4 linked regions of the Lonchura striata genome follow. The protein of the gene in region 1 purifies or fractionates together with the protein of each later gene. This does not show direct contact. Links are inferred from orthologs where the notes say so. Each region holds a gene or a part of one and is shown in the gene's direction. Other genes may lie near its edges.

Region 1 (7,973 bases):
GATGGGGGAAGAGTGCAGCTCTTCTGAGTCACTGAGGTGTGACTCACTTCCACTGAGTCCACTCAACTGCCCAAAACCGCAATGCAGAGGACAGGTCCAGGAAAACAAAACCAAGTTGTCTTCTTGCTGTTCTGTCCTGTTCCTAACAGGCAGCAGGTTACTGTGGCCCTATGCAGCCCCAAAAGTAGTGAAGGAAGCAAGTCCAAGTCTGTAAAACTAGAGGGTCAATGCAATGGCTTTGGCTGTTGTGTTCAATACAGCATTGGAAACAGCTGGAATGTCTCGGGCAACTCTCTGAAAGGGCGGCATGTTGGGTCCTTCCAATGTGTCCAGGATACCTGGAGAACAGAAAAAAGGGGAGAAAAGCAAGAATTAATTCAGATGATAGCAGATAGCACATTTGTTTTTGCTCTTCTCTCTGTCCAGGTAGTGGTTGAGGGTGGCAGGGCCTGTACACATCAGAACTTGTGCTAGGGGCATGAAAGCTACATGCTCCCAAAAAGTACACAGATCCTTTTACTTTGAGGGTGTCAGACCCAGTCCCTGACATTTGACCTGAATGCAGGTACTGCCAGAGATGTTGCCCTGCTGAGGGAAATTGATAAAATCCTGTTTCTACTTCATTCCAGCACAGATCTCACTCTTAGACCAAGACTTTCTTTTATCCTGAAATACACTTGCAGACTCACATCAGGAACTGCAGCTGTGCTGCAATGTGGAATTTTTGTCACTGCAATGCAAACAGACCATGCTTGGCAGGAAATACACAGACCAATGCAAATGTCCTCAATTCTCTGTCAATTACCCTCTCAAGATTGATAATCAGTTTTGGAGTGCTTTGAGGAAAATTGCCTGGAGTATATTTTATTCTATTTTATCTGCCAGAAAGCTACAGGTCAGAACCTTTGCCATAAAAACAGATTCAGGAAGGACAGGATTTATATCCAAAAGGACTTGTAATGATATTATGCTAATTACGCAGATTTATCAAAAATATCACAAACACTGCCTAAACTGGCTGCCTAAACTCATAATAGACACTTGCAGAATTGCATATTTAGGGATCTGGAAACTCTCTAGAGATGGGGTAGGAGAAGAGTTCTGGTTTTGTTTGGTTTTTTTTTAAGGAAGTTGAAATTTTGTTAGGAGAAAAGAAGAAGAGATAGAAGGAGGACATGAAAATCCATGGCCTGGTTAACAGTACCAGCTGGGGAAGATATAGCTTCTGCTATCTGTGCTATACAACACAAGATACAATAATATGTTCAACAAAGAAGTAAAAACGTATGATACATTTCCTGATCAGAGAAAACCAACCTGACTTCAACAATATTCAGGAAGGGGCTGGACATCTGCATGCAAGAAGAGTCAGTGCTGTTACACTTCACTTGTGGAGAAATAATTACGATCCTGCCTCACAAATTGGGTCTTAAGTGCTAAAACTCAGTGCACAGCAACTACCCCAATGTTTACCTGCTGCCCTACTTGAACAGCTTCTTCTAAAAAGCTAGTGATAGTGATTTTAGAGTTGGAAACTGGCACAGATGCCCAAAAGGACAGATTCAAACTGTCCATCCTCTCTCTCAGAGAGAGAAAAAACAACTTCTCTTCCCCCAGATCTAACAAGATATCTTTGTATCTCCCTTGCTTACCTTCTACCACCTTGTGATAAGCAAAGTGCAGATAGAGGAGGAAAAGCATATGCAGAGCAGCAAGAGTCCCACACAGGATGAGCCGCTGGGTATGTCCCACGGTGCGTGAAACCAACACAGCAACCTAAGAGAGAGGAGGTGATCAGAGGCAGGGCACCTGCTACCTGAGCCGCTGGCACTGCAGTCAGAAACACATGGAAGAACAGGTCAGGCAGTGAGAATCTGCAGGAACACCACACTAAGTCTTTTTTGCAGTTTTCACCAACAAATTTGGAGAAATTTGACACTGTTTTGTATAGGTGAACATTGCCCAGTCTTGCCAAGAGTTCAGGATGCTCAGGCATGGCTCTCCACAGCAGCAAGAGCTGTAAGGGAGTAAATAAACCTCCTGCAGCTCTTAGAATGGGTGAGGATATTAATCCAAATAGCACTTCCATATAGCAGTGGCCAAATTATTCAGGAGCATCATTTTCTCCAGAGCAGTTCGTCTGGCTGTGAAATGAACCACCAGGCCAAGGAACAGAAAGCAAACACTTCCGTCCCTTTTTTTGTCCCAGAAAGACCCCAGGCTGCTTATCCCTTACCATCCGTAGTGTAGAGAGTCCACCAACAACCAACCAGAAGATATAGAAGAGGGAGTGGAAGTGAATATTATAGGTGACAAAGAGAGTGATGCAGTGTCCGAAAAGACCGTAGCCCTGACAAAACAAAAATGTCCATGTTAGAAGCACCGGTCCCACACAAAGGGCCATTGATCAAGAGCACAAACCGCCTATTCTTGCAACACTTCACCACAGCAAAGCCTCACAAACCACTCATTCACTGCCGAACAGTCAACCAGAACAACAACTTCAACAGCAGCTCACACACAGATAATCTAAAGGATTCACAGGCATGTCAGAGATTGTGACAACATGGGAAACAGAGGAAATATCCTCCAATCCCAGAGAAACTGGAGTTTCCTGGCTTTTTACCACCAGGTTCTCAAATCAGCAAGTTCAAAGCAGGAGACCTGCATAACGAACTGCCTCTTTGTACTATTGTTGTGCCTGGGATGGTGCAGGTCAGAAGAACATCCCAGAATTCCAGGTTGTCCCAGTGCAGTTACCTGGGACCAGCAGTTTACAAAAAGACTTTGCCTGTTTTTTGGGAAAAACTTATTCTGGAACACCATGCAGCCAGTGTGCATCATAGGGCAGCTCCATGAGTACATACCAATAGTGACAGCATCTGCACCATTGTGATTTGGGCATTGCACAGATATGCCAGGAAATACATGAAAGATGAGACACCCAGCCAGTAACCGAAGCAGGTGCCAATGGCTGTGCCCATCAACGTGCCTTCCCTCTGTGGAGACAGTGTCAGGATGAGGAGAACTCAAAGAAGTGACCTGCCAGTACCCAAATTAACCCATGGGAGTCCCGACACTTTGTAGGCATTATTAAACAGCTGCCCAGCAGCATTCAAGGGGCCACAGGACCTACACCCCAAGCTCTTCCAGCAGCATAGTGTCAAAACTTTCTGGTACATCCTTCTTCCCACCTCCAAACCAACATCCTCAAATCAATCTTCATTTCAGCAAGATGCTTATTCAGTTATAGAAGAGGTTTCCTCTCCTTTTCTAGTGTCATGGCAACCCAGAGCCCAGTCAAACCACCACTTATCACTGAAACTCGACGTACAATGATGGTGTCTGAGGTCTTCATTCCATGCAAAAGAATGGCCACCAGTGTGAAAACCAGCATGAGGGGTCCATACAGCTCGCCTGCAATCTTCTACAGGAGGAGACAGGTGAGGGAAAGTTTGGTTAGAGCCCCAGAATATCAGGGTTCCCACCACAGGTGATGTGAAAAGTGCACTGGATGAAGTTTAGCACCCAGGTTATCACCTGAGGTTAGGTGACAGCACGCTGAGGTTTGGAACAACCATGGGAAGGAGCCACCAACATTTTCAGGAAGAAGAACATCTAACAAACTTAGTCCTTAATAACATGGATTATTACAAGTTTTACAAGGTGTCTGTGGGACAGTCACTTGGCCATGGAGTCTGATTCAGCAAAAGGGAACTCACCTGTGGGAAATTAATCATCTTCACAGGAATCATGGACTCCAGCAGTCTGCATCACAGGAAAGCAGGGAATGACAACAGGAGCAGCGAGAACAACAGGAGAATTAACAAAATACTTCATAAGTAAAAGACACCATATACCCATTACCAGTGTTTGCTATTGTGTTGACAGCCTTTGAGGGACAGTGGATTCTTTCTAAAGGGTGAGTCAAGGTCACTAAAGAACGAAAACCTTCCTGTCAAGTGGGTTAACTTTGCTGAGGAGGGGCAGATTTAATGAAAATATTTAGGGATCCACTCAGGGATGAGAGATCATTGACAGAAGAGCAGGAAGGAAAGGCAAGTTTCCTCATAAAGTCTCACAAAACTTTGCTTCGTTGGACACAGCTGTGTTGCAAACCCAACAGAAGCCACATAGGGCAGCCAAGTACAAAAAGAGTCCCTTCTCCTACACTCAGCAGCAATGCCAGGTGACAGGGCTGCCAGCCCAAGCACAGCACCTCGCTAAGGCGGGCAGGACAAGGCACGATGTGTCTGCCCATAGGTGAGCGTTCCTGCGGGGGCAACTGGCGCTCGCTCGGGCCTGGCAGCCAGACTGCTGCGGGCTCGGAGCCGCTGCCTCCCCGCAGCCCACCTGGCTCGCACTTGGACGGGCTCCACATCGAAGTAGGGCCGGAGGATGTCGATGTTGGCGTAGAGGCTGAAGGCCCTGGAGGCTTGTCTCTTCCCCACCTGCCACATCTGCGGAGAGAAGGAGCGGGCAGCGGCCGGGCGGGCAGGCAGGACCCGGGGCCGGAGGCTGACGGGGGACAGCGCTCACCTGGTCAGCGACCTGCCGGCCCAGCTGCCCCCGCAGCCCCTTCATGCCCAGGAACTCCCCGTCCTCCTCCTCCTCGCCGGCGCCCGCCTCGCCCTCCGCCTCCTCCTCCTCCTCCTTCATGCGCTGGTGCATCTCCCCCATGTCCTCGAAGCTGGAGCCCGACGTGTCGTCCATGTTCTCCATGTCGATGACAGCGGAGCCACCACCCTGCGCCGGGGCAGACTCGGTGTCAGCACCCCCTCGGCCCGGCCCGGCCCCGCCGCCCCCGGCCCGGCCCCACCTGCATGTTGTCCTCGAAGCCGCCCCATTCGGCGGCGGGGGCGCCGCTCCTGCCGCCGCCCGCCGCCCCCGGCGCGGCCATGGCGCCGCTCCCGGCCCCGCCGCGCTGGCCCGGATGGGCGGGAGCGGATGTGACGGAGCCTCCCGGCGCAGCAGCACCGCCAGCAGCGCCGCCCATCGCGCTCATGGCGGCGCGGCGGGGCACGGACGAGATGCGGGACCGCGTGGTGCTGGGCGAGTTCGGCGTGCGCAACGTGAGCGAGCCCGGCGGGCGGGACGGGGCGGGGCGGCCGGCGCCCGCACCCCCTCACCCCCTCACCGCCCCGCCTTGCCCTCTCCCCGCAGGTCCACACCACCGACTTCCCCGGGAACTACCCCGGCTACGAGGACGCCTGGGACCAGCGGCGCTTCGAGGAGGTGGGTGAGCGGCGCCGGGCCGGGGCTGCCCGTGGGTACGGGGCCCTGCAGCCGGCTGACCCGCGGTGCGCGGCTCCCACAGGCGTTCCGCGTGGACGTGATCCGTGAGGAAGAGGACGCCCTGGAGTTCGACATGGTGGGCATCGACGCCGCCATCGCCAACGCCTTCCGCCGCATCCTGCTCGCCGAGGTACCTCTGCTCACCTGGTGGTGCCGGCCTAAGCCTGGCTTGACAGGGAGCGTGGAATGTCCAGCATTGTCAGCCCTTGCGGACAGCTGCGGGCTTTGGAAGAGAAGCACACGTTCGTTCCGCATGGGTGCCAGGAGCCCAAAGAGAATTAGGACTTTAGCAGCATGGGCAATAGCGCCTGCTGGTCCTAGGGGTGCTTTGGTAGTGTCTGCGGGTCAGCCATTTCAACACAGCTGCGTGGCCAACCCAACAGAAGCCACATGATGCTGCCAAGTACTAACAGGTTCAGGATGCCCCAAAGCCCTTTTTCCTGTCCTTCATCTCTTGATTGTTTAAAAAGACGGGGATAGGAATAGATGTGGTGTACGGGTATATTGCATAGCCTGATTTGGTAGAAATACCACTCAAAATAGTCTGCTTGGCAGTTATTTGTGGGAGAGGAGGGACACTTGAGCTGCATAATCTCTTGGCATGTAGTTCAACTATTGTCTTAAGCTGACTTGATCTCTTGTCTCCTTGAGGTGCCAACGATGGCTGTAGAGAAGGTGTTTGTGTACAACAACACATCCATTGTGCAGGATGAAATTCTGGCTCATCGGTTGGGCCTCATCCCTATCCGAGCTGACCCTAGGCTCTTTGAGTACAGAAACCAAGGTGAGAATCTTGAACAGAATAGAAATATTGAAGGTTTCTCTCAAAGTAGGAAATCAGGGTTGTGTAAACTGAGCAGAAGTGTGATTTCATATGCTTCTTCCCAGGAGATCAGGAAGGCACTGAAATTGATACTCTGCAGTTTCAGCTGAAAATCAAATGCAAACGAAACCCTCAGGCTGCCAAGGAATCATCTGATCCTGATGAACTATATTTCAATCATAAAGGTGAGATTGCTCCTAAAAATAGGTGCTGTTTTTTCTTTTTGGTTTTGGGCTGTTTTCTCAGCCCTGTGTGCTCACAGGGAGAGTTGATTCCATTCTGCTAAACTTTCTTTTTGCTATCTCCAGTCCTATACAGCAGCTGGCTGATGCTTGTGGCTTCTCTTTGCAGTGTACAGTAAACACATGACATGGGTGCCCCTGGGGAATCAGACAGACCTTTTCCCAGATGCTGACTTCCGACCTGTTCATGATGACATCCTCATTGCACTGTTGCGACCTGGACAGGAAATAGATGTGCTTATGCACTGTGTCAAGGGTATAGGTGAGTCGTGGCTCCTGGGGCAGCGGGAATGTTTGGAGTAGGGCACTGCAGTGTGATGGGGAAGGGTGGAGAACTGGCTTTTCCCCTGGAACTTCAGGCCTGAGCATCCTTGTTCCCTGAGGCCTGCTCTCATCCTTGACTCTTAACTCTTCATACAGGTAAGGATCATGCCAAGTTTTCTCCTGTGGCCACAGCCAGTTATCGACTGCTTCCTGACATTACTCTCCTGCAGCCTATTGAGGATGAGGCAGCTGAGATGTTGCAGAAGTGCTTCTCCCCTGGAGTCATTGAGATCCAGAATATCAATGGTACTTTTTTCCTGCGCTAACTGCCTTGTTCCTTGCAAGCTTTAGATTGGAGCTTAGAGCCAAACTTTGCAGAAACAAAACCACATGTAATGTTGCTGTGCTGATCAATGGTTCATGTTCTTCCGAGCCTACTTTTATGGATGAGTAGCTGCCATGTGCAGCATGTTGGGTGACAAACACGGATGTCCCTGAAATAAATTGGATACCTGTCCGCAGAGCTCTGCAGCTGTTGACTGCAGCTTGCAGTGCTGTTCAGTTGTGACACTGGGTAGTGAGCTGGAAAAGCAGCTGAGTGTGGAGACTTCTTGTATCTTTCTGGGGTGCATGTACGCTTTGTGTTTGGGTTTTCCTGCCAGGTTAGACTTTCATGTTGGGTATATGCTAATTCTTTTTATTGGTGTCTCCCAGCCTTTGGTGAGGAGGGAGTGCCTGTTTGAGGTAAGCACATGTTGTGACCATAAGGTATCCACCTGCTGCAATTTGTCCATCTCGTTTCATCTTCCCTTTAGGAAAAAAGGTGGCAAGAGTAGCCAATGCACGGTTGGACACATTCAGCAGAGAAGTTTTCCGACATGAGAGTCTGAAAAACCTCGTACGCCTGGCAAGAGTACGGAACCATTACATCTGTAAGTGCCTCGTTTTCCACAGAGTCCTGACATGGTTTGTGTGAGCAAGCAGTGACTGACCAGCATGCATGGCTGGCTCTGTGCCTCTTCCTACCCTCAGCATCCATACATTCAGAACGCAGTGAGTAACTACTTGCTTTGGGATTGAATCTCTTGGTGCTTCCTGCTGGCAAAGGGAGCCGCTTGTCTGGCTGTGAAGATCTGGCTTGTTGCTGTGAGGTGCAAGGGAAGGTGAGGGCCAGCAGCATGGAGCCAGGGGCATGGAGGCTGAGGCTGCCTCGTGGCTGTGCTGACTTGTGTCTGTCTCTGTGCAGTTTCAGTGGAGTCGACAGGTATCTTGCCTCCAGATGTGCTGGTAAGTGAAGCCATCAAGATCCTGATGGGAAAGTGTCAGCGTTTCCTCAATGAGCTGGACTC
Region 2 (7,659 bases), on another chromosome or scaffold:
ACTTCAGCCAAGCTCTTAAAAGCAGGTGTAAAGCTAAGCAGGCCATGAGATGATGCAGGATTGATCAGGATTTCTTGCATGCATAGCCAAGGAATATTAATTTCTTGTAAAATGCAGAAACTGTTTAGGGAACAGAAATCGGTTCTTCCCTTCCTGTCCAAGTGCCTGTCACTGGAATCAAATTATGCTCCCATTTTCTCTTTTTTATGGCAAGTGGATCTTGACTTGCTGTTTAGACATTTATCCAAGGGTGGTGTCAGTAACATCTGCCACTGTCTGAAAGAGGTGAACTCCTAGTGGTTAAGGGAGAATTTGAATCTTTTCTAGGAGGGAAGGGAAAGTTACCCTCGGATGTCCTGCTTCTGGCTGGTGCTGTAACCACCAGGCAGTTGTAGCGGTGAGCAGCCTTGCAACACATGGCAACATCTTTTTGCTGTAGATAGCAGGGGTTGTGGGAAAGTAGTGTCCATGGCCTCTTTCTTTTTTGTTTCGTTTTGAGAGTGAGGGCAAAGCTCTTCACCCATTAATGGAGGAATGTCTCATTTCTAGATCTCAGCTGGTCTTAGGTAGTGAGGTACTAAAACGACCAGATTTTTGGACCTAATATTTTTTGTACATGCTGAAATAGAACCAGAGGACTGCAATTAATATTAATCTTTTCAGTGCCTATCCAAAATTCTGCTTTAGATGCCTAAAGCCTCTCTAGGAATGTGGCCTGTTTTGCTATTTCAGTTCATAGCATTAAGGTGTCAGCTGTCAATGAAAGGTGAAGACAATTGAATAGTCTGTTTTGTGCAGAACCTATACAGTGGAGGGACTATAAATCAGACAGAAGGATTTCCCTGATGTGCTTCCCTCAAAAGGTGGTGATGCCAAATCTTTAAGATTTTCCTTGAGAAGGAAGCATGTGTTACCACACCACTAACCATTTAGGGAGGAGATTGAAAGTGTCCAAAATGTGCATGCAAAGGATGTAGAGTGTAATTATTGACACTTCTTGGTGTAGTTTAATTTGCTAAATTCAGTAGTTGCTGAAGTTGCTGACAGCTCAGTGTAGATCTGGTATGTAAATGTGCACACAACTCAGTGCAAAATTAATTAATTTTTTATTTGCAAATACTACTTTTTGGTGATGAAGACTACCTTCTGTCCTAAGATGTATCAGATGATTTAGCCATACAATAAATGGGACTGTCAATAATATGAAAATGGAAATTGTTTACAGAAATATACGCAACTTAGTCTGTGACATTCTTTTGAAGGGAAAAAACTGTATATTTTAAAGACTTTTTGTAATTATATTGCTTTACGCTGTATTTTTAATCTATTCACAATGAATAAATAAAAATCTGTATTTTTTAAAAATGTGAAAATAAATCTGAGGCTCAGCCTGCCAGGACTTACCTGGGCTCAGCGTTGCCAGAATATTTCTTGGGTAAGGACAGTGAGATGGAAGACTTTGTATGTCAGACAAGCAAATACTTCTTGCCTGCATCACTTAGTACTCTCATTCACTTTGTCTGGGTTCATTCTGGCTAGTAAATAAAATTGTTCTTTTTGTCACTTTTTCTCAGTAGAGTGTTACTCATTGCTTGTGGGTATTTGCTTTTGGGTTGTTTTTTTTTTCTTTATAAATTGCCAAAATTCAATCCTACTATTGCAAGCTTCCAGAAATCCTCTCTGTTGTTTGTATTATTCTATTCCCAATTTCATTCCCTTATTCCCTTTTAACAGTCAGAAGTAACTAACTGGGAGGAAATTATCTGTTTTCCACCAGAAAACAAAATGGTTGATGTGCTCTCTGATTTACATTTGATTACACACGTAATTACATATGTCTGTAGCCAATGGAGGATAAAATATAAAGACAGGAAAGCTCATGTCCAGGGTGCTACGGAGGCCTCCCTATCCTTTTAGCTTTTGTTTAGTCCTGAGAATAGGCTGGAAATTCTTGGGCTCTATGATTTCAGGTGGGATACAATATCTAATGATACACTGTCATCTTGCCTGTTTGAAACAGGCTCTTTCAAACTGTTAAAAATGGAGCTCTTAGTGTTGCCTTTTTACTGCTTTATTTAGACAGGTGGAACTTCTTATACCTGTGTAGTTTAAACAATGTGAAATTATCTTCTAGAAAGGGCACTGTGAAATAGCAGAATTTCCTAACAAAAAAGCACCATGTGGGCCTCTGCATTGTGGAAATCACTAAGATGAAAAATGGTGAAATTTGGCACTGCTCTAGCTTTATAGGCCTTTGGAGTTTTTAGATATAGCTGCTGTCACAGAGATGGAGTGTTTGGCAAATGTAACAAAGTAAGAATAGCATTCTTCAGAAACCATGGAGACAGCAAACTCTTACAGCTTATAAAGTGTAAATAAGTATATTGGCTTTTTCTTAATTACTGGTCTGTGGGACTGATTTGAATCTCGTTCTCTTCCCCACAGATAAAATTTCACTCAGAGTAGAATGAGTGCTGACAGAGCCAGGTGTAGTTACGATGGGTCAAGTCAGGACTTCTCATCTGAATTTGGAGAGGCAGAATTTCATTTGACCCTCTCAGGACGGATGCAGGGCAATGCTGCCAGGGGTGAGTCAGGGTATTTTCAGGTTTAAGTTCAGGGATATCTCTCAGTTGCTCCTGCTGATGGACTTAACTCCTGTGTGGGGACAGCTCAGGGCTTTGTAGCTATTGGGCCTTGCCTTTAGTCTGGGAGTCTGACATACTCCAGTATATGTGGGTCCTTGCTAGTCCTTGGCTATCCTGTGCCAGAAAACAAAGTAATGAGGCTTGTCCTATATTTTGAGTTCTCCTCACGTTAATTATTTTTTAATTTGGAAATGATTCTGCCATTATAACTGATGTTGCACAGGTGAAATGAAAAAACTGGTGACCCAGCTGCCACCCCCGAGGGACAGCCTGTGCTCTTAGCCCCTGTTTCCCACGTGGCTGATGTGAATAATCTTGGGTACACAGGCTTCCTTTGGTGCTCAGGAGAAATGTCTCTGTGGCCAGGCACAGAAACACTTCAGGGACAGAGGCTGAGCTCAGGGCAGAAAAGCACTTTTCAGGAGGGTGTTAGTTCCCTGCACTGCCTGGGCAAAAGGGCCTGTGGGACTGAGCATCCCACACAGTAAGGAACAGTTTGTAATGAGTGTGCTACGCAGCCTCCTGCACACACACACAGGCTTGAAGACTGTTAAAACTGACTCTTTGCCAAAACTTTTCTCTTGAGCAGGTTACAGGTGATTTGTTGTGTGAAGCCAGTTCAGGTCTGCCTGCCTTCTCTCCTCCCTGAACCTCTCCTGCTGCTCTGTTCTTAAAAAGCCGCACATCCTGAAAAGGCACTGAACTGAGGGTGTGAAACTTCAGCAGCACTAGAGGAGTTTATTCATGTTTACATGTGTATGCTGTTATTCCTCAATACTTGTAGGCAGTGAATTGAATTTTTTAGCAAGACTGTGCCGTGCTTCAGCCTCTCACAATGAGAGTGCTAAAAGCCTGGCACAGGTTGCTCTGAGAGGTGGTGGATGCCTTATCCCTGTAAACATTCAAGGTCAGGTTGGACAGGGCTCTGAGCTACCTGATCTGGTTGAAGATGTCCCTTTTCACTTTAGTGGATGGACTATCAGACATTTTTTAGACACTTCCAACCCCAACAAAACCATTCCCTGCTTCCATTTCAGCAGCTCCCTGGAAAGAGAGCTGGCACCACCGGGTGCTGCAGGGACAGGCTGTGGGAGGTGCCAGGGGAAAGGGTTGAATGATGCTGTCAGCAGGGCTCCCGCAGGTTTATTTTCTCTATCCTATTTAAATGAACTGCCACAAGGACAGAATTAAATCAAGCTGCATTAAGGCTTTGTGGCCTTACCATAGAGAAGCTGGAGTTCTTCCTCAAAATACAACCCTTCAGTTGTAATTAAGTGGTGAAAAAAAAGATTAATTCTTTACGAAAACTCACCAGACTTTCAGGCAAAATGCGACCAGAGACTTCCAGAGGCACGTGCATGGAGCACCAGCAGCTGAGGTGTGCTACCATGCATTTGCACAGGTGTACTGAGTACTGCCGTGCTGGTCCCTGTGCTATACGCAAAAGAACAACCCCCCAGGCATAAACTGCTGACTTTTGACTTTGCGAATTCAGGGAGCTCTGACTTTGCAACGGACAATTAGAATTTAGAACTTTTTTTAGGCTTTCAGAGGGGGTGCCCGGGCGGTGCCACACGTACGGCGCAGGCGGCTGTGCTGCTCCGTGGCATCCACGTGGCAGCGGGCGCGGCGCGGAGGGCTCGGGTGCATCGCGCAGCTCCAAGTGCCGCTGCTTGGGAACGGGCTGAAAAGGACCCCCCCGCATTTTATTTTCCGGGTAGAGGGGGTGTGTAGGCAGAGCGGTTGTTGGGGAAGGAGAAGGGTGGGAAAGACGGGGACAAACCGGTGTGCAGTAAAAGCATTGCCAAAAGGCAGCATGCTCGTGGCGGTAGCGTGGCCGAGCGGTCTAAGGCGCTGGATTAAGGCTCCAGTCTCTTCGGGGGCGTGGGTTCGAATCCCACCGCTGCCAGCCCGGGTTCCTTTTTGCGCCGCGGGCCGCCGCCATCGCCCCCTGGCGGCAGCGGCGGCCGGGAGAGCATTGTGGGTAGGAGGAGGCGCCGCGTCCCCACGTGCCGGCCCGCGGGCCACCAACATGGCGGCTGCCTGACCGCTGCCCCACCGACACGGGGAGCGGGGGAGCGGCGCCGCCGCCGCCGCCCGGCCCGCACACAGGTACGCGGGGCCGCGCTGCTTTTGCGCCTCCCGGGGCCGCCCCGGCGCCGGGGACCCTGCGGGTGGTGGCGAGGGAGGAGCGCGGCCTGGGCTGGGGTGGGCTCTGCCTGTCCGGGGAGGACGGCGGAGCCGACACTGCGAGGACCCGGCACCGCGGGGCCGCAGCGCCCTGACAGGACCTGGCTCGGGCCGGGGCGCTTGGGGGCCGGGCCGGGTCCGGCCGCAGCCGCGGCCCCTCGCCTGCCGCGGCAGCACCGGGGGTTGCCGGCCGTTCCTCTGGGGGCTGCGAGCGGCGGCCCCGCCGGTCCTGCCGGGCCCGCAGCCCCTTCCCCGGGCAGGACTCGGCGCACTCGCCCCGAAGTGCAGCGCCTGCCCCTGCGTGGCACCGGCGCTGCGGGGCCGCAGCCCAGCCCAGCCGTCCTGCCCGGGGGGATCCGCTGCGTCCCCGCGGTCCGGGCGGCTCGGGCGGCCGCTGTGGCCTTTCCCCTTTCCCCTTTCCCCTTTCCCCCTGCCCTGCCCCGCTGCTGTGTCAGGAGGGGGCGGGCGCCAGGGGCGGCCGGCGGGAGCGCTGCCCGCGGGGAGCACGGCTCGGGCACCGCGACCTGCCCCGGGAGCGTCCCACCGCGGCGGGAGTGACCCCTGCCCCCGGCAGCCCCGGCCTGGCACGTCCCGTGCTGCACACGGGGTGAGGTGCTGAAGAAAGGTTTGTGCTTGGTGCATAATCTCTTAAACCCCAAAGGTTTGCTTCGGTGACATCACCTCCAGAGAGAGGTCCTGGTGCAGAGGAGCCCTCTTGGGTTCACTGCCAGAAGATGACTGTGCAAAGCTGCTTGCAGGCGAGGAGAAAATGAAGCAAGTAATTGGGTCAAAATGATAATTGCCATAAATGTATGGAAGGTGCTTTAGCTTCTTTTTGCAGATTCCATTTTACTGTGCGCCATGGGCCACCCTGAGCTAGAGAGTTGCTCAGAGCCCCTTCTAGAGGAGCCCGGGTGCCAGAGGTAGTTGTGGTACTGATTCAGGAAATGGCATTTTTCCCACGCTGCCGTTTCAGCATTTATACTTTCAGGCACTGATCCAGAAGGAGTTGTTGGCCTTTCTTTGTCACTGCATGATTATATGAAGAATATATCAGGTTTTAGTGTTAGCACTTTGGGGGTCTATTATTACTGACAAATTTAGGTAAAAATGAAATACTGGAGCATTTCTTGCAGGCCTGACTAAAAGTATGTGTGTCAAATGATGTGCAGGTTTGCAATTTACCTTCTTGCAGTTACATTTAAGTCTTTGGTAGTAAATAAAATTAAATCTCTAATACTCAAATGCCCTTCAAAGCTCAGAGGGAGATGTAGGATTCAGTTGCTTCATCACTCATTTTTACAGTTTTTTTAACCACAAAATTTTTCTTCAATGGCTCTATGTTGATGGTGTTATTGGCAGCTAAAGAGCAGTATCATGGATTGGTCCTTGCATTAGTCACTTTGCAGGAGAAATGAGAAGATTTCTATCTCTTGCCCTCCTGCTAGTTGATAACTCACATTATACTTTGATTTGCACCTTAAAGGAAAGTCCTTAAAACAAGAAGGTTCTACCAAAACCTGCTGACCATTTTTGCTGTCTCTTAATGTTTGATTCCATTATGTAACTCTTGTGGTATCGTAAATATATGTATATGAGAAGTGTGGAAATTAACACTATGTATGTATATATCAGACATTGTGTCTGCATGCCTTCATTCTGATTCAGAGGATTTCTTCTGGTTGCATGAGTATTATAAGTTGTACTGGGACACACTGCTTCCTATTTATAGATGTGTCAGTCTCATTTTCCAGTAAAAGTATCTGTAGTCATGCTTTATCTTTACAGGACTAAGAAAAAAAAAAGTAGTTTTTGTAATGCAGCATTTCCCCTGAGCAGTGACAGGTGGATTCCCAAGGAGATTTTGTGTATAATTGCATAGGCAGTGTTCAGTGAGGGGCCAGAGACCAGGTTCTTCAGGCTGAGTTTCTCTGTCCCTGTTAGCCCAGGAGGGTTTTCTCTTCTTGGAAGTGAAATAACTTGCTCAGAAAAGAACAAGCCTAGCAGATACTTGGCATGCAGGCTGTCAGGAAGGGAAGGGTGGTTCTTGGTTCTCTCAGGGGTGTGAGGAAGGAGGGTTTGGACCCAAGTGTCCCACCTTTTGGGTGTTGCCACATGTCCTCACACATCTTGGGCATCCTCCCACCATCAGCTCTGAGCTGAGTGCAAGCTGCAGTTGTTCCATGTCTGCAGAGCTGTCAGGTGTTGGGCCACCTGGGGACGTGAGTGGGGAAAGCAAAAAAGGAACTGACTAACCTTATTTCTTTAAAACATATTAATGTGTCTTTCTGGGAGGAACTGGGTGCCTGATCACAGAAAAACACTGATATCAGTCAGATATCACATACTCATGGTTTTGCTCACAGTCCAGCCTGTGGTTAAGGTACTGGCTTTTTGCTGTGAAGGTGTTTTGCATTTCTACAACATTACTTCAGATAGGAATCTGAAATACTGAGGCATAAATTTTTAAATACATATGTATGGTACAAAGACCCTGGGACATGCTGGTGCATAAAGAAATGGAAAATGCCAGCTCAGTATTGGGAGGGGCACTTTTTTGGTAGCAGAGAGTCTGTAAGTGAAAAATACGGAATTATATTTCTTGGTGGAATGGCAGAAACACTATAAGCCTGAATGGATGTTAATAACACTTGCATCCAGAATGTCTAGCCTCTTTGAAAGGTTTCTTAGATACCTATGTGTACATTAGTGTGATATTTGAGAAGCCTGTATGTCAACTGAAATATACTGAGCTGCCTAAATTGTGTGGTGGCTTGAGTATTTGAAAAAAATGCCATTGTTGTAGATGTAACATGGATGC
Region 3 (7,756 bases), on another chromosome or scaffold:
CCGGCCCCGCTCGGGTCCCCCCCGTGTCCCCCGTGTCCCTTCCCAGCCCTGCGCTGCGGCTCGGGGGCAGGGGGTGCTTTGGACAGGGCGGCTTGGGAGGGATGCTCGAGTGATGCTTCTCACCCGGCGTAGCTCCTGCGCTGCGGACAGGTCGGGAATATCCTTGGAATGCCTTGCTGGGGATATCGCATCTCTCTGTGTCACACCCCTCCAACGAGCAATCTTCAATATAAACAGAGCTGATCCAGTGCTCTGTGCCCACTGCCACCCAGCAAACAGAAAAAAACAGATGGGAGCCTCTTGTTCTTTCCCATCTCTGCACGGATGAAAGTGTTCACCCCATCTGGAAAGATGCTGCAGCTCCAAATTTGGGGCTTCTCTGCTGTCCCCAGGTTGTGGGGCCACCTGAGAACCTCGGGCAGTGGCTGTGGGGCTTGGAGTTATGGCAATAACCTCTATCCTAAACTCATCACACCCTAAATATCGTGGAATGAAGTGACTGATGGAAAGGACGAGAGACCTTTTCAAGTAGCAAAGCTGTGGCTCTGCATAAATTTCTCATTAACTCCTCAGACAGAGCATTTACTGCAGCCCCTCCACAGATAGTTGAATATTTTGCTACTTTCTCCAAGTGAGCTCCTGCAGTGCAATATTTTTCCATGTACATTGTCCAAACCCCTCACAGAGTTTAGGAAACATATTCCAGCTTTCTCATCCACGGTTTTTGTTGTATTTTCCTCACTTAAACTGACCCTCTTGTTTGTTTTCTACTGTTCTCTCAGTTCTACAACTTATCCCCTTTTCCTTTTTCCACTGGGAAACTGAAACAGTTCTCGATTCTTTTGCAGTCCTATTCCTTCCTCTTGTGAAATCCCTCGCTTTTACCACCTTTCTTGTCTTTTCCACCTTTTCAAAATGTCCTTTCCTTACTCTGGGCTTTGACAGGAGATCGCCAATATGCTGTGAAAACATTAAGCACTGGGTTTATAACTAGAGTGAGTGGGTGTAAATAAGATTTTGCTAGCCTGTGTCTGATATTACATGTGACAGGGGATATTCCATCCACATGGGATCTGTCAGCAATGCCACTGTGGATTTAGCAAACTTCCCAGGGATTAGTTGGTTTGGAGTGCTCTGCACAGCTCCTGCCCCAGTGTGTATCTAGGAAATGATGAATTCTCTCTTTATTGTTAGATCAAACAGGCAATAATTATGTTTTCTGTATAACAAGCAATGTAGGATGTAGATTAATATATTCATAATGAGTGTGGAATTAAAACAAAATAAAAGCAGAATTCCTCAACTTAAAAATGAACATTGAAGAAATAGGATTTCTTAAGGATGCTTAGAGTTGGAGAGTTGAACTTTGTTGAAGGGAAAACAGTAAAATAGCAATGCAAAATATACTTTCTAATGCAAACTGAATTGTATTCTCATTACTGTCTTCTCCATTTGCTCTGTTTTGGATGTCTCTCCACTTCCCATCACTGCCTCTCAGTGATTTATTTGAAACAGAAAGATTAACCTCAAAATCCCCATCCCACAGTTAATACTGGGGAGGTTCTGAAGGAAAAGTCTCTCTCTTATTTTCCTTTCTGGCACAGGGCATGGCAAATCATTCCTACCTCAATATTCCCAGCTTCACCCTTTTCAAGGTGAAAATAAGTACTGGAGGGTAAATTGCCAATTCTGCAGAACAGAGAAGTTTAATTAAATATATTTGGATGTTCTCAAATATCTGAACTTTATTTGTACTTCTATAGTCCATCAGTCTCTCTCTACTATTTCACTTTTTTTGCTGAAAGAGTGCAATGCTGAAGGAGTGCAGCTCCAAAGGAGCTTTGGTGACTCTGGAAATCCACTTTTCACAACAGGACTGTGAAGGAAAAGGATAGCTGAAACAGCTACAGTGCACCTTCTTTTAAAAACATTATTTTTTTCAGCTGTCTTTTGCTTTGGAGAAAGAAAACAGCTCCATGGGCTGAACGTGCCATGCAAACGCACTGTCAGCTCACCTGACACGGAGCCCTGCTGACATATTTTTGTTCAAAAAAACCCTACCTTTGTTTTTAACTCATTTTTCAATGAAAAAAGGAAAAAAAAAAAAAAGGTGGAAAAAAAAAGAAAAAAATAGAAACCGTAGGGTGCTGAGCAAAATGCTGAACGCAGTAAACATCTTTCATGACAAAGAACACAAATACCCTGCAGATCTGCTGGCAATAGCAAGTCCTGGGCCCCCTGCTTTCAACAGTTAATACTGAGGCCCCTCTCTGCCCAAGCCTTGCTGGTAACAATCACAATGTTAAAATGTTGACATGCTAAGCACATTTGGGAAAAAAACCCATGTCTGCATTCCCTATGGATGGTGTAGCATCACTGTCTAACACCTAAAGAGCAGCAATTAAAACCAAAGTGACCTTCTCACCTCACCCCCTGCCCCGCTGGTTCTCTCTTGATATTCCCTTTCATGATGGAGCTGAGCCATATTTGTATTTACAGCCTGCCAGGCTTCCTGTCTCCGCTGGGAAATGTTTAGGAAGTCTCTATTAGGGAAAAAAAAATGCTGTTGGAAGAGGTGTCGTGCTCCCTCATCCCCAGGTGGGTTGTAAAATGCAGCACTGATTGGAAAAATGTGTCAGGAAAGTGAAATTTTGGGGAAGGGGTGGAAAGAAATGTGTCAGGAAATCAAAATTTTGGGGGAGGGGTGGAAAAAACATGTCAGGAAAGCAAAATTTTGAGGAAAAGGTGGAAAAAACGTGTCAGGAAAGTGAAATTTTGTGGAATGGATGGGAAAAACATGTCAGGAAAGTGAAATTTTGGGGAAAGGGAGGAAAAAACATGTCAGGAAAGCAAAAATTTGAGGAAAAGGGTGGAAAAACATGTCAGGAAAGGAAAATTTTGAGGAAAAGGTGGAAAAAATGTGTCAGGAAAGCGAAATTTTGGTGAAAGCGTGGAAAAAACATGTCAGAAAAGTGAAATTTTGGGGAAAGGGAGGAAAAAACATGTCAGGAAAGTGAATTTCTTGGGGAAATGCAGAAAAATGTGTCAGGAAAGGGAAATTTTGTGGAAAGGGTGGGAAAAACATGTTAGGAAAATGAAATTTTGGGAAAAGGGAGGAAAAAATATGTGAGGAAAGCAAAATTTTGAGGAAAAGGTGGAAAAATGAGTCAGGGAAGTGAAATTTTGACAAAAAGGTAGGAAAAATGTCAGGAAAGTGAAATTTTGAGGCAAATGTAGAAAAAAACATGTCAGGAAAGTGAAATTTTGAGGAAAAGGTGGAAATAAATACAATAATTTGCTGCTGGGGGAGAGATGTAAAGAGATGTAAAGGACACTTAAGATAATTGTGCTGAAGGTTCTGAACCTTTAGCTGCAGAGGGTGGTGAGAGGCAGACAAGGATTGACAGATTTCTGGAATGAAACCCTGAAATTTGATTGTCTGGAAATACAGTATTTTCACATGAAACCTGCCATCTTTTCCCTTCTTTCAGGCAGCTGCACGTGGAGGGTTTGGGACATGGCAGAGCAGCCACAGAATTTTTACTGTGCCAGTTTTGGCCAACTTACAAGGCCAGTTAATCCTGACATGAAAAAGGGCATCATCCATCACATCCTGTGCTCTGAATCACACAGCAGCTCTCAGACTTCTCTCCTGGCTCTTTTTTTATTCCACAGGACTCCACAATAAGTTATTTTGAAATATAAATAAATTTCTATCCGTGTGTGGTGGGGCGCACATGCCCACCAAAACTTTTTTTTAGGCGTTTTCAAATTAAAAGGGCTGAAAAGCCTTTGCAGTTGGCTTTTAAATTTTGTCCAGCACTTTTATATTTGGTGATGGAAATTCCTGGAAAACTGGGAGCTGCTCCTTTCCAGCTGTCCTGGCACTGCAGACTGTTCCTAAAGCACCACAGTTTGCTCGTGTTACTCTGAATTAGTTTAGGATTTGCAATACCCCAAGGAGAGGAAAAGCCTTAATTTTGTCTGGTTTAGTCGTGGAGAAAACAGTGGCTGGTGGGTTTTGTGCTGGAATTGCAAGGCAGAGGTTGCAGGCACAAGGTTGACTCATTCAGTTCCCTAAATCCCTAAAAGTCCCTTAAATCCCAGCTGCAAGCAAGCAAATACATCTGTATGACACTCCTTAGGGAGTTAGAGGTGCTGCATCTGGATATAAAATTTTCCCTGAGAGATAATATCAAAATTAAGGAATTCTATTTCCCTGGCCAGGTAATTTTCCTTGCGGTTTCCATCAGGATTTTTAGCTGTTTGCACTCATTGAAATGAAGATGGTTTTACTGAGGATGAAAAGAGCTCTTGGAAAATTTAACAGCACATGGTTTAGACGGGAAAGAGTCACGGTGACAGCTGGGGAAGGAACGGTGCTGATAAATTGGATGGATGCATCGAAAAACAACAGGAGTATTGCAAAAACACTTCAGCCCTGCAGCACATGGCTAAAGATTTGATTAAAAATATTTTCGCGTTACTGTTTTGCCTTGGTCACAGTTAACAGCGGCTAATTGCCAATTTGAGTAATTTCGGAGACAAATGACAATTTTCTGACTGATGTATGCACAAAGGCCGTGATAAAAAGTCGTCTCTCATCGCCGGCATTGGTGGTTCAGTGGTAGAATTCTCGCCTGCCACGCGGGAGGCCCGGGTTCGATTCCCGGCCAATGCAGCTGATATTTTCCGGTTTTTCTTGTTTTATTTATTTATTTCTTTTAAGTTCCTTATTTCTCCTTCCGCTTCCGTGTCGGCCGCCAAATCCTCCTTCAGCTCCACGGGGCCTCGGCCGGCTGCTCCCCCGCCGTGCCCCGCCGGGCTGCGGCTGCCCCGGGGGAGCGGGAGGATCCTCGGGGAGGCCGCGCCGGGAGGACGAGATGGAGGTGTAAGGACCGGCCTGAGGGGGGCACGGGGGAGGACAAATGGAGGTGTAAGGACCGGCCTGAGGGGGGCACGGGGGAGGACAAATGGAGGTGTAAGGACCGGCCTGAGGGGGGCACGGGGGAGGACAAATGGAGGTGTAAGGACCGGCCTGAGGGGGGCACGGGGGAGGACAAATGGAGCTGTAAGGAAGGGTGTGAGGGGAGGACAGCGGGGCTGCGGGGCACCTCAGTGGGGTTTGTGTGGGGAAAAATCTCCGTGCGGCTGCATCTCCATGGGAGTGGGGTGTGTGTGGGCACATCTGTATGATTTATTAAAAAATCTGGATATTGATCTAGTACCGATGTCCAGCTGTGATGGACAAACACTCTCTAACAGTTTAAAGTTAGACAGTGTGTGTTTATTGTGTGCGGGATTGCTCCCAGATACACACCGCAGCTTCCAAGTGATTACAGCGCCCTTTTATCCGTATTGAATACCCAAAATACAAATCCATATTAATCATTTTGGTACATCCCATTCCTCACTTCCTATGCTAATAATTTCAAAAGCCATTCAGCATGCTTGGTTTGTTCCTTGAAATGGGTCGGTGTCCCTTCCATGGGGAGGGGTCCCAAAACGAGGAAGTAAATGAAGTCTTCATCTTCCTCGTTCTGACCTTTCTACCTTTTCAATGCAAATATGACAAATTAACTCTTGGTGGAACTCCCATTCCTTGTCTTCAATTGGTTTCAGAACAGAGTGGGCCGCAATTGTCTTATGTTCCTAAAAGCTATTTGTCAATTTATATTCTTCATTATAAACCAGCTAACTAAACATTGTGCTGACAAGCAATCAATTATTAACTACTAACTCTTTAACTTCTACTAATCTATTTAATTAACTCTAGTAAGGCTTATCTCTAACTAAAATCTTAGCTCCTCTAAAATCTCTAAATTCCTTAAAATTTACATTTCAAATCCGTGAGGGGTGTGAGGGTACTGTGAATCTGTGATGTGAAAAACACCAATCACTTGGTTTTTAAAATTTTGAAAGTTTAATAATAATAAAATGGTTATAAAAATAGTAATATAATTAGAGTAATAAAATTTAGAGTTAGGACAATTACAAGGCAATAAAAAGCAAAGAATTACAGACGTCCAGATGCTCTTGGACGCTAAGTCATGAAAAGCATCCCTTGTGAAGAAAGGAATAACCTTAAAAGCAACAGCCTGATGCATATTCATATATCTCATACATGAGATACATAAATTCTTCGTAAATTAAAACTTTTTGGTTTTGTCAACTTCTTCTCCTTAATCCTGTTGGTTCCACAAAGATGGAGAGAAGGTGGAAGAATTTTTGTCTTTTCTGATAAGGAGGCTGTAACTTTTTATGGGCCCCCTTCGCTGACATCTCTGTGTGATGAGTTTATTGATTATCTGATCTTCCTGCTTGAGATTGTAACAAATCCTATATCACAGAGTTTCTATTTTAACATTATGTTGTAAGCTAAAACTACATTTAGCACACTACTTAAGAGAATTAATACAGCATAACTTTCTAACATTACACATATAATATTCATTTGCAGAAAGCCAATCATAAAATATGCATTTTTCACACGTGAGGGATGTGAGGGTACAGCTCCCAGCAATAAGTTCAGGTGTTCTGCTCAATGTCAGAGGGGTTTATTTTATTAAAACTCCTGCTGGACAAGCTGTTGGGGTGAAAGGTGGTGTGGCTCAGCCTGGCTCGCTCTTTTCGCCTCCTGTCTCCTCCCTCTGCCCTGCAAGAGGCAAAATGAGATTTTTTCATTATTCCCATGAGCTTTGTGTAGGAGCTGGAAATGCTGGAGAAGGATAAAACCTGCGGGGTTTGTGCCAGCCACTGCAAGCACAATAAGAGAGTCAGAATTTTGGCTGGTGGCTCTTTCAGGCCTTCTTACTGTGTGTTTCAGGTACAAAGCAATAGGATTTGACCTGTTTTGACACTTAAAATCTCACGAGTTCTGTGGAGCTGGTTAAATTTCTAGTTTTCATTTAATTTTAATTTCTCTAATGGGTGGGGGCATTAATGGGATGTGTCTCCCAAAATCACTGAGCTTCTGCAGCCCTGTAGTCCAGGGATGCTTTATTATCATGAAATCTTCTCTACTGTGAACATGAAAATCAAAATTTGATAAAAAATATGAAACATCTGCTGAAGTACAGTGAAGTGCAGTCTTAATGTGAGTAGCAGCCGGCAGAGAAATGATCTGTTCTGGCTGTTGTACACTAAGAAAAATGCTTTTACCATTTATAAAAAAATCTGTGATGCTTCTTACACATCCACTGAGTTTTTATTAATCTTCTTTTGCCTCCTGCCTGATTTGGAAGGGAAGCTTTGCAATTCTCTAAGTTCTTACTGTGGATTTTTCTTACCAGAATTATTCTGTATTTCTTACCAGAATTATCTGTTATTAGAGAAAAGAACTCTCAGAAAACAGTGTGGTTTAAATATACAACACATGTGAAACAGCAGACTTAAAATATGGATGTCAGTGATTTTTGTAAAGATGTGATGCCCTTTACCAAGGTATTTTTTGATATATTCAGCCCTACTCAAGAGTATTTTGGTTTAGGCTAAAATTTGGGCAAATACGAGCTCTTTAAAGACTCTAAAAAGTGTTTATATTTTTGCTGTTACCATGAAAATTTTCACCTTTCTGCTTAAGTCTTAATCACATAAAAATTAAGCAAAGTGTTGAGCTGACTGCTTAAAAATAGACATTAGAATCCATTACTCAGATTTCTTTGTTTCCTGACTGTAAAATTGGGAGCTGCGAGTCAGGACAGAAGGAAATTTCATTTCTATTGCAAATGCTGATCAATTTATAATTTTGGCATTT
Region 4 (7,454 bases), on another chromosome or scaffold:
ATGTACACCTGGCAGTCCGAAAGTTATTTGTGTGGGATTTAATTTAAGCACCTTGATTACACAGTGTCCTTTACTACAAAACAGCCAAACATACATTCATAATCCTAGAACTATCGTCGTAAGTAGCGTATTTTAAAGCATTATGTCAGACAGGTGCAGCCTAAGCTGTTTTCCTCTTTGAAAGGTAAGGGGTCTGCAGCTCCATCCTCAGGTAATGCAGCAACTCATGTTACAGTAATCATTTAAATGCTTCCACTGTTACAAAACGCTTTAGAGAGAAGACAAAAAGAAAGGAAAGCGCACGTCAGTTTCTTGTTCTCAAACCGTGCTATTTCAGGAGACCCCCGTGCTGTCGCCCCTCTGCCCTGCAAAGGGGCTCTTGGCCGTGGGGGTCGCATCCCCATCCCGCCGCGCGGCTCCCGGCGGCGACACCCGCGAGGTAGGTACCGGATATCCCCAATGGCAGAGCCAAGACTATGTTTGGCACCGTGGCACGCCGGTGTGCGCCCGCCCGCCTGCCTGCCGGGCTCACAGCAAACTGCTGGGCAGGTTGCTGCTCTGCCACCTAAGGCAGGTGGTCTTGGAGTGTTTGTAGAGGTGGCTGGACTGGCTGAAGCGCTTGCCGCACTTGAGGCAGGCGTAGGGCTTCTCCCCCGTGTGCACGCGGATGTGCTTCTTGCAGTCCGTCAGCGTCAGGAAGGTCTTGCAGCAGATCTTGCAGGCGTACTTGCGCGCACCCTCCACCACCAGCACGTTGTGCTCCGACAGGGCCTTCTTGCACTTGGACAGCACGTCAGCGGAGGCGCGCGTCAGCTGCGGCGGGCCTGGCTGCGACAGGTGCCCGCCCTCGAAGGAACTGCCGCCGTTCATCATCAGCTGCGACCCCGAGGAGCTCTCCTGCAGCTGCGAGCTCCGCACCGAGGTCACCACGGGCATCTTGGGGGCGATGCGGCGGTAGCCGGGGAAGCCACCGGCTCCGCCTCTCACAGAACCCATCATGGCCCGAGACAGCGAGTGCAGGCCCAGGCCGGAGCGTGGGAAATCCATGCCGAACTGCTCCGCCGCTCGGTAGCCGGAGCTCTGCACGCATGGCAGACCCATCACATCCTGCATGGGCCGCACGAAGTGGGAGTCTGTGGGCTCACTGAACGGGTTCTCCACGTGCGACACGGCGGCGGACGAGTGGCTGCCGGCGGGCCCCGACTCCGGGCTCATCAGGTAAGGGGCGTCACTGTCCATCCTGCAGTCGCTGGTGGTGTTGGGAATGTTGTCGTCGTTGCTTTGGCTGGCGCCAAAGCCACTTCCCCTGCTTTTATTCAGAAAGTTGGAAATGCTGAAAGAAGACTTGTGTTCCAGGTTGTTGGACACCTCCATGATGTGGATGTCCCCCACCCTGTCGGTGCTGGACTGCGGGTCCGAGAAGCTGCGGTCGCTGCTCTCGGGACTCAGCTCGATCTTCTCTGCGCTCACCACTCCTCCTTCCACCTCCACCGACTCGCTGCCCTCCGCCTGCGAGGTGACATCGCTCACCTCGTCCTGGGGCTCCGGGGAGCTCAGGGGCTCAGACTTCACCACCACCCTCATGTGCTCCTTCTCGTTCAGACTGACCTCGGGGTTTTCGCACGGGAAGTTGCTCTTCTCAGCAGCAGCCTCCTGGTCGTAGCTGGTCTCCACCTGCGTGGCCTGGGACGCCATAGACATCTGGGAGATGTTCCCCTCACCATTGTCCGACTGGCTGGGCACCTGGGCGTCCTCCTGAGCGCCGAAGGACTGGTCGAACATGATCGTGTTGTCCTCCTGGTTATCGGCAACCGCGTCGGCCTTGGAGTTGTCCACGATCTTGAGCGAGTCCGGAGAGAAGAAATCCTCCCGGGAGTGCACGCTGGGCTGCCCGCTCTCAGCGGCCACGTCGGCCACGGGCTCGTCCATGGCGGGGCGGACGCGCTGGCGGGCGCGCTCCTCGGAGGACTGCTTGCGCTTGTGCAGGCGGCGCATGGGGAAGGCGGCGCGCTGCTCCAGCCCGCCGCGCAGCGCCGCGCCCAGCGCGCCGGGCGGCTCCTCGGCGCCCTGCGAGGAGCCCAGCGCCGAGCTGACGATGCTGAGCCCCAGCTGCTGCAGCATGAAGGAGCGCTGCAGCCGCGCGCTCTGCTCCTGCGCGGGCTCGCTGGGCGGCGACAGCGGCAGCGTCCGCGTCGTCAGGTAGTGCTTGCAGGCCTTGACCACCGAGTTGAGGTGCAGGTGCGAGGCGGCCAGCAGCACGTCCATCACGTTGCTCTCGCCCAGCATCAGCGTGGACGTGTACATCATGTCGATGAGCGCGGCGAAGGCCTCGGCCGTCACCACCTCGCTGTCCAGCTGGATCATGTTCATGCTCTGGTCGCCCTCGGCCACGGTGAAGAGCGCGCGGAAGTGCGTGCTGCAGGCGGCCAGCACCGAGCGGTGCGCCTTGAAGTGCCGGTTGCCCACCACGATCACGCAGTCGCACAGCTGCCCGTGCAGCCGCTGGTAGTTCAGCTGCTGGAAGACCTGCTCAAAGTGCCCAGGGAAATCCATGGTCCTGCAAAAACACAAGAGAACCGCTGTGTGGGCCGCCGGGCTGGCCGGGGGAGCAGCTCTGCTGCAAGCAGAGCATGGCTGAACTGGGATTGTGCAGCCTGCAGGGCGGCCTCACCACGGCCTTCCAGGCCTGAAGGGGCTACAAGACTATTCATGGGAGTCTGCAGTGAAGGAGAACAGGGACTGGGTTCAAACTGAAAAACAGCAGCACAAGATGGAACTGTTCCCTGGCAGGGTGGGCAGGCCCTGGCACAGTTGTGGCTGCCCCTGGATCCCTGGCAGTGCCCAGGCCAGGCTGGACACTGGGACTGGAGCAGCTGGGACAGTGGGAGGTGTCCCTGCCCTGGCTGGGGTGGAAGAAGACAAGGTGCCCTCCCAAGCCAAGCTGCTGTGTGATCCTACGGCTGAACTCCTGGCCGGGCTGCAGCCAACCTGGCAGCTAGGACAAGAGCTGACAGCTGACAGACAGACAGACAAACAGCCCTGAGTGTCCCACCAGCACATGGGCACAGCACCAAAGGCAGGTCGGGAGGACAAGAAGGAGCAGTGACAACACCACGAGCCTGAGCTCAGCACCAGCCACACACAGGCAGCTGTGCTGGAGCCCAGACTGCGTGGGTCTCCTCACACCCACACCTACTGTGAAACAGTCGCTTCTGGTTGGTGAAACTGATCGAAACGACCTGCTGTCCCTCTGACACACTGCTAGCACACCTGGGCAACCTTCCCCAGAAAAACACGGCACTGCCCAGCCAGCCAAGCAGCCAGCAGCCGGGGCTGGCTTCTCCCCAGTCCTCACCACCTAACATCAGACCTGTCCTGCAGATCAACCTCAGGACCACGGAGGTGACCCTCAGAGTATCTCCATTTCTCCCCGTGCCGTGTAAGGCTCGGTGAGCACTCCCCAGGCACACACACAGCAGTTCCTGAGCTCACATTATTCTGCAGCAGCACTGACGGGCACGGGACCCCAGCACAGCCAGAAGGAAAGGGCACAATGCAGCCAGAGCCCAGCACAGCCAGAAGGGCCCAACACAGCCAGACCCCAGAGCAGCCTGAAGGAAAGAGCACAACACAGCCAGACCCCAGTGCAGCCTGAAAGAAAGGGCACACGGCCGGGATCACACTTTGAGGAGGGTGCACAGCAAGGTCCGTCCTCAAACACGGAGCTGTTTGCTGCTCTCTGCTCCCTGCCACCGCTGCCGGTGCTGGCCGGGGGCTCTCCCCGGAATCCCAGCGTGTCCTCGGAGGGAGTCACAACGGCAGATCGTTCACCTGGCATCACCTGCACTGTTCAGCACGGGAAAATGAAGTGATTTAGAGCCTCTGAGAGTCCGGAACGTCACCCGACCTGCGATGACTGGGTTCTCCTGCCGGGAGCTGCTCTTCCCGAGACACTGCCCCATTCCCCCGTTTTCTCCCCGTTATTTCCCCGTTTTTCCCTTACGCACCACCGGGACCAGCCAGCATGCGTGCCCCTCCCAGAGGAGCACCTGCCCCGCCGCGCTGCACCAGCAGCGGGGACCGCGCAGCGGGCACTGCGCTCCGTGCCGCGCACGGCCGCACCGGGGACACCGGAGAGCCACGGTGTCGCCCGGCGCTGGGCTCCGCGGTGTCCGCCCCCCGCCGCCGCGCTCACCTGCGGTGTCCGTGCGGGAAGGGCGGTGCGGGACGGGCGGTGCGAGGCTCGGGATCGGGACCGGGATCGGGATCGGGCCTGGGCTCGGCCCCGGCCCCGCTCCCGCCCCGCCGCGCCGACACCCTACGTCACTTCCGGCCGCGGGCGGCGCGCGCCGCGCCGGCAGCCAACCGGCGGCCCCGTTACTTCCAGGCGGCGGTGGAGCCTCACCTCACCCAATGGGGACTGGGCTTATTGCCGCGACCGGAAGCACCAGCGGAAGAGGCGGAGGAGCGGCATCGGCACCGGCACCGAGCGGCGTCCCCGGCCCAGCCCGGCCCAGCCAGGCCCAGCCCTCACCATGGCCACCGCCACCGCCATCTGGCGCTACCGCGGGGACCCCGAGCCGGAGCTGCCGGCGGCGCTCGGTGAGCGGCCCCGCGAGTAGCGGCGGGTCCCGGGAGTGGCAGCGGCCCCGGGGGTGGCGGCGGCCCCACGCCTCACGGGCTTTCCTCTCCCTTAGTGCGGTTCGCCAACGGCCGGCTGGAGCGGCCCGACTCGCTGCGCTTCGCCGCGTACCGGCACCGGGAGGCGACGCACCCGCGGAAGAAGCACCACAGGATCCTGGTAAGCGCCCGGCACCCGCGGTACCGGAGTACCGGGGTGCGGGATGGAGCGGGAGTGGCACACGGCGGGGCAGGGGCGGATAACGGGCTCAGAGCGGGGGGTGTGAACCATCCTGGTGTCTCTGGGTTCCCCAGGAGCTCTCCTGGTGTCCCTCAGCCCTCTCCAGGGGTCTCTCCCACTTTCCCAGGTCTCGGAGACGGAGCGGCTCTGCTACGTGGGGCACAACTTCGGCACCGACGGGACGAAGTGCAGCTCCCTGTGCAGGTGAGGAGCACGGGGCTAGCAGAGCACTGCTGGGGGCTAGCAGAGCACCGCTGGGGGCTAGCAGAGCAGCACATGGTGCTAGCAGAGCACCGCTGGGGGCTAGCAGAGCACTGGGTGGGGCTAGCAGAGCACTGCTCGGGGATAGCAGAGCACTGGGGGGGGGCTAGCAGAGCACTGGGTGGGGCTAGCAGAGCAGTGCTCGGGGATAGCAGAGCACTGGGGGGGGGCTAGCAGAGCACTGGGTGGGGCTAGCAGAGCACTGCTCAGGGATAGCAGAGCACTGGGTGGGGCTAGCAGAGCAGTGCTCGGGGATAGCAGAGCACTGGGTGGGGCTAGCAGAGCACTGGGGGGGGATAGCAGAGCACTGCTCAGGGATAGCAGAGCACTGCTCGGGGTTAGCAGAGCACTGCTCGGGGATAGCAGAGCACTGGGGGGGGCTAGCAGAGCACTGCTCAGGGATAGCAGAGCACTGCTCGGGGATAGCAGAGCACTGCTCAGGGATAGCAGAGCACTGCTCGGGGATAGCAGAGCACTGCTCAGGGATAGCAGAGCACTGCTCGGGGCTAGCAGAGCACTGCTAGCACTGCTCGGGGCTAGCAGAGCACTGCTCGGGGCTAGCAGAGCACTGCTGGGGCTAGCAAAGCAGCACACGGGCCTCACACTGGTGAGCCAGTGGTCTGGGGGCTGCTGGGCTGCTTGCCTGCAGCTCTGAGGATCATGAGCTCTGGGAGGAAATTTGGAAATTCAGCTGTTGTTCAAGCTATGGCCATCGAGTCCTGCCTAGCAAAAAGAAAGGGAAAAGGAAACAGCAGAATGTTGGCACCTACACTTTAAGAGAAAAAAGCAGAATTCTGGCACCTACACTGTACCGAATTCAGTTGTTTTTAGGACTTCTGCACTTACTTAGAGTATCAGTTCTTCTGTTGTTGTGTGCACACATGCCATGGAGGAGCCTTGGCTTATTGTAGTGCTGTGTGTGCAAGGCAGGAGAGCTGCTGGGCTGTGAGACAACCATGACATTGAAATGATTTCTGCTCTCTGCCTCTCGCTGATCAGTGCCCTGTTCTCCCCAGGTACTTTGTTGGCGTGCTGGACAGGAGCTCTGGGCAGATGGAGGTCTACAATGCTGAAATATTCAACATGCAGCCCCTGCTCTCAGGTGGGAGGTGCTGGCAGCCCGGGGCTGTGTCCTGGTGCCCATGGCAGGGACAGGGACAGCTCCTGCACAGCCTGGGAGGGGGAGCACGGCTGGGGGCTCAGCAGGGACTCTACAGGCGGGGAGGCACTCACAGAGCCTCACTGCTCAGGTGCTGCCTTCTCTGGGAGCCTTCTGCTGAGGGAGCCTGACCCTCAGCAGGAATTGCACCCCTGAATAACAAAATAAAACCAAAAACCCACAGGTTTTATCCAGCAGGGCTGCTTTTTGTCATTGCCCAAAGGGTCACATCTATTGTGGCTGATTTTTACCCTGAGCAGCAGGACGTGGGCTGGGCCATAGTCCATATATTGCATGTAAGGCTTTGAAGAAGAAGCCTTTTTTCCTAGGTTCTCATATTTGTCATGTCCTTTACTGAGCCAGGGGACATGGAGCAGGTCCTGTGCCCAGTCTGTCGGTCACAGAGCCAAAGGAATTCCTGTCCTGCTTCTTCTGTGCAAGCAAACTGACTCTTGCTGTTTTGTAGATAACATGATACCTGACGACACAAAGGAGTATCAGAAGAAATCCTACAGGGAGAAGGTAAGGTTGGAGCTGTGTCCTGCTCTGCTGTGACTGTCCAGCTGTGAGGGGCTTGTCTGCAGCCTGGGAGGTTTGCTGTCCTGTAGGGTGAACCTGTGCAGGGCCAGCATTTTCCCAGTGTCCAGGAGGCAGCATGAGCATTGCCTGGCTCAGGAGCATTTTCCTCATTTTCTTGGTTTACCTGGTTATTGCAGGCTGGTCACCAGCCCAGTGACCTCCTGCCCCTCGCAGAGCAGCGCACCCTGCACCTGCGGGTCCTGCCACAGGAGGAGTTTAAAGTGTGGGAGGAGCAGCAGGGTTTGTGTTCAGTGTGTGTTCCTGCCTTGTGCAGGTGGGTTTGGGGTTTGTGTTCCCTGGGTGCATAGGTTTCAGTGTGTGTTTCTGTTTGTGCAGATGGATTTGGGGTTTGGGGTTTGTGTTCCCTGGGTGCACAGGGAGTTTCAGTTTGTGTTTCTGCCTTGTGCAGGTGGGTTTGGGGTTTGTGTTCCCTGGTGCACAGGGTGTTGGATTTGGGGTTTGTGTTCCCTGGGTGCACAGGGTGTTGGATTTCCCTGGGTGCACAGGGTGTTGGATTTGGGGTTTGTGTTCCCTGGTGCTCAGGGTGTTGGATTTGGGGTCTGTGTTCCCTGGGTGCACAGGGTGTTTCACTGT

The links.
Region 2: the proteins of POLR1C (region 1) and POLR3E purify together in Homo sapiens (affinity purification with mass spectrometry; 5 studies listed by BioGRID and IntAct, counting the BioPlex papers as one, with this or other methods). This does not show direct contact. The link is inferred for Lonchura striata from reciprocal best matches to the Homo sapiens genes POLR1C and POLR3E.
Region 3: the proteins of POLR1C (region 1) and CRCP purify together in Homo sapiens (affinity purification with mass spectrometry; 5 studies listed by BioGRID and IntAct, counting the BioPlex papers as one, with this or other methods). This does not show direct contact. The link is inferred for Lonchura striata from reciprocal best matches to the Homo sapiens genes POLR1C and CRCP.
Region 4: the proteins of POLR1C (region 1) and POLR1E purify together in Homo sapiens (affinity purification with mass spectrometry; 5 studies listed by BioGRID and IntAct, counting the BioPlex papers as one, with this or other methods). This does not show direct contact. The link is inferred for Lonchura striata from reciprocal best matches to the Homo sapiens genes POLR1C and POLR1E.

Annotation. Positions count from the first base shown.
Region 1 is NC_134605.1:36,008,581-36,016,553, forward strand, and holds the start of POLR1C (DNA-directed RNA polymerases I and III subunit RPAC1), read left to right. Parts: upstream 1-4,965; 5' UTR 4,966-5,003; coding exon 5,004-5,072; intron 5,073-5,163; coding exon 5,164-5,235; intron 5,236-5,317; coding exon 5,318-5,425; intron 5,426-5,946; coding exon 5,947-6,079; intron 6,080-6,183; coding exon 6,184-6,303; intron 6,304-6,469; coding exon 6,470-6,622; intron 6,623-6,780; coding exon 6,781-6,930; intron 6,931-7,439; coding exon 7,440-7,556; intron 7,557-7,870; coding exon 7,871-7,973. Other genes in the region: protein YIPF3, read right to left, coding at 217-338, 1,653-1,776, 2,237-2,350, 2,868-2,999, 3,335-3,427, 3,723-3,768, 4,354-4,460, 4,540-4,746 and 1 more. UniProt on the Homo sapiens protein: DNA-dependent RNA polymerase catalyzes the transcription of DNA into RNA using the four ribonucleoside triphosphates as substrates.
Region 2 is NC_134618.1:10,694,228-10,701,886, forward strand, and holds the start of POLR3E (DNA-directed RNA polymerase III subunit RPC5), read left to right. Parts: upstream 1-4,648; 5' UTR 4,649-4,760; intron 4,761-7,659. UniProt on the Homo sapiens protein: DNA-dependent RNA polymerase catalyzes the transcription of DNA into RNA using the four ribonucleoside triphosphates as substrates.
Region 3 is NC_134622.1:6,502,156-6,509,911, forward strand, and holds the start of CRCP (DNA-directed RNA polymerase III subunit RPC9), read left to right. Parts: upstream 1-4,745; 5' UTR 4,746-4,883; coding exon 4,884-4,891; intron 4,892-7,756. UniProt on the Homo sapiens protein: DNA-dependent RNA polymerase catalyzes the transcription of DNA into RNA using the four ribonucleoside triphosphates as substrates.
Region 4 is NC_134642.1:86,297,285-86,304,738, reverse strand, and holds the start of POLR1E (DNA-directed RNA polymerase I subunit RPA49), read left to right. Parts: upstream 1-4,443; 5' UTR 4,444-4,535; coding exon 4,536-4,602; intron 4,603-4,697; coding exon 4,698-4,801; intron 4,802-4,988; coding exon 4,989-5,065; intron 5,066-6,138; coding exon 6,139-6,224; intron 6,225-6,747; coding exon 6,748-6,803; intron 6,804-7,454. Other genes in the region: ZBTB5 (zinc finger and BTB domain-containing protein 5), read right to left, coding at 529-2,553. UniProt on the Homo sapiens protein: Component of RNA polymerase I (Pol I), a DNA-dependent RNA polymerase which synthesizes ribosomal RNA precursors using the four ribonucleoside triphosphates as substrates.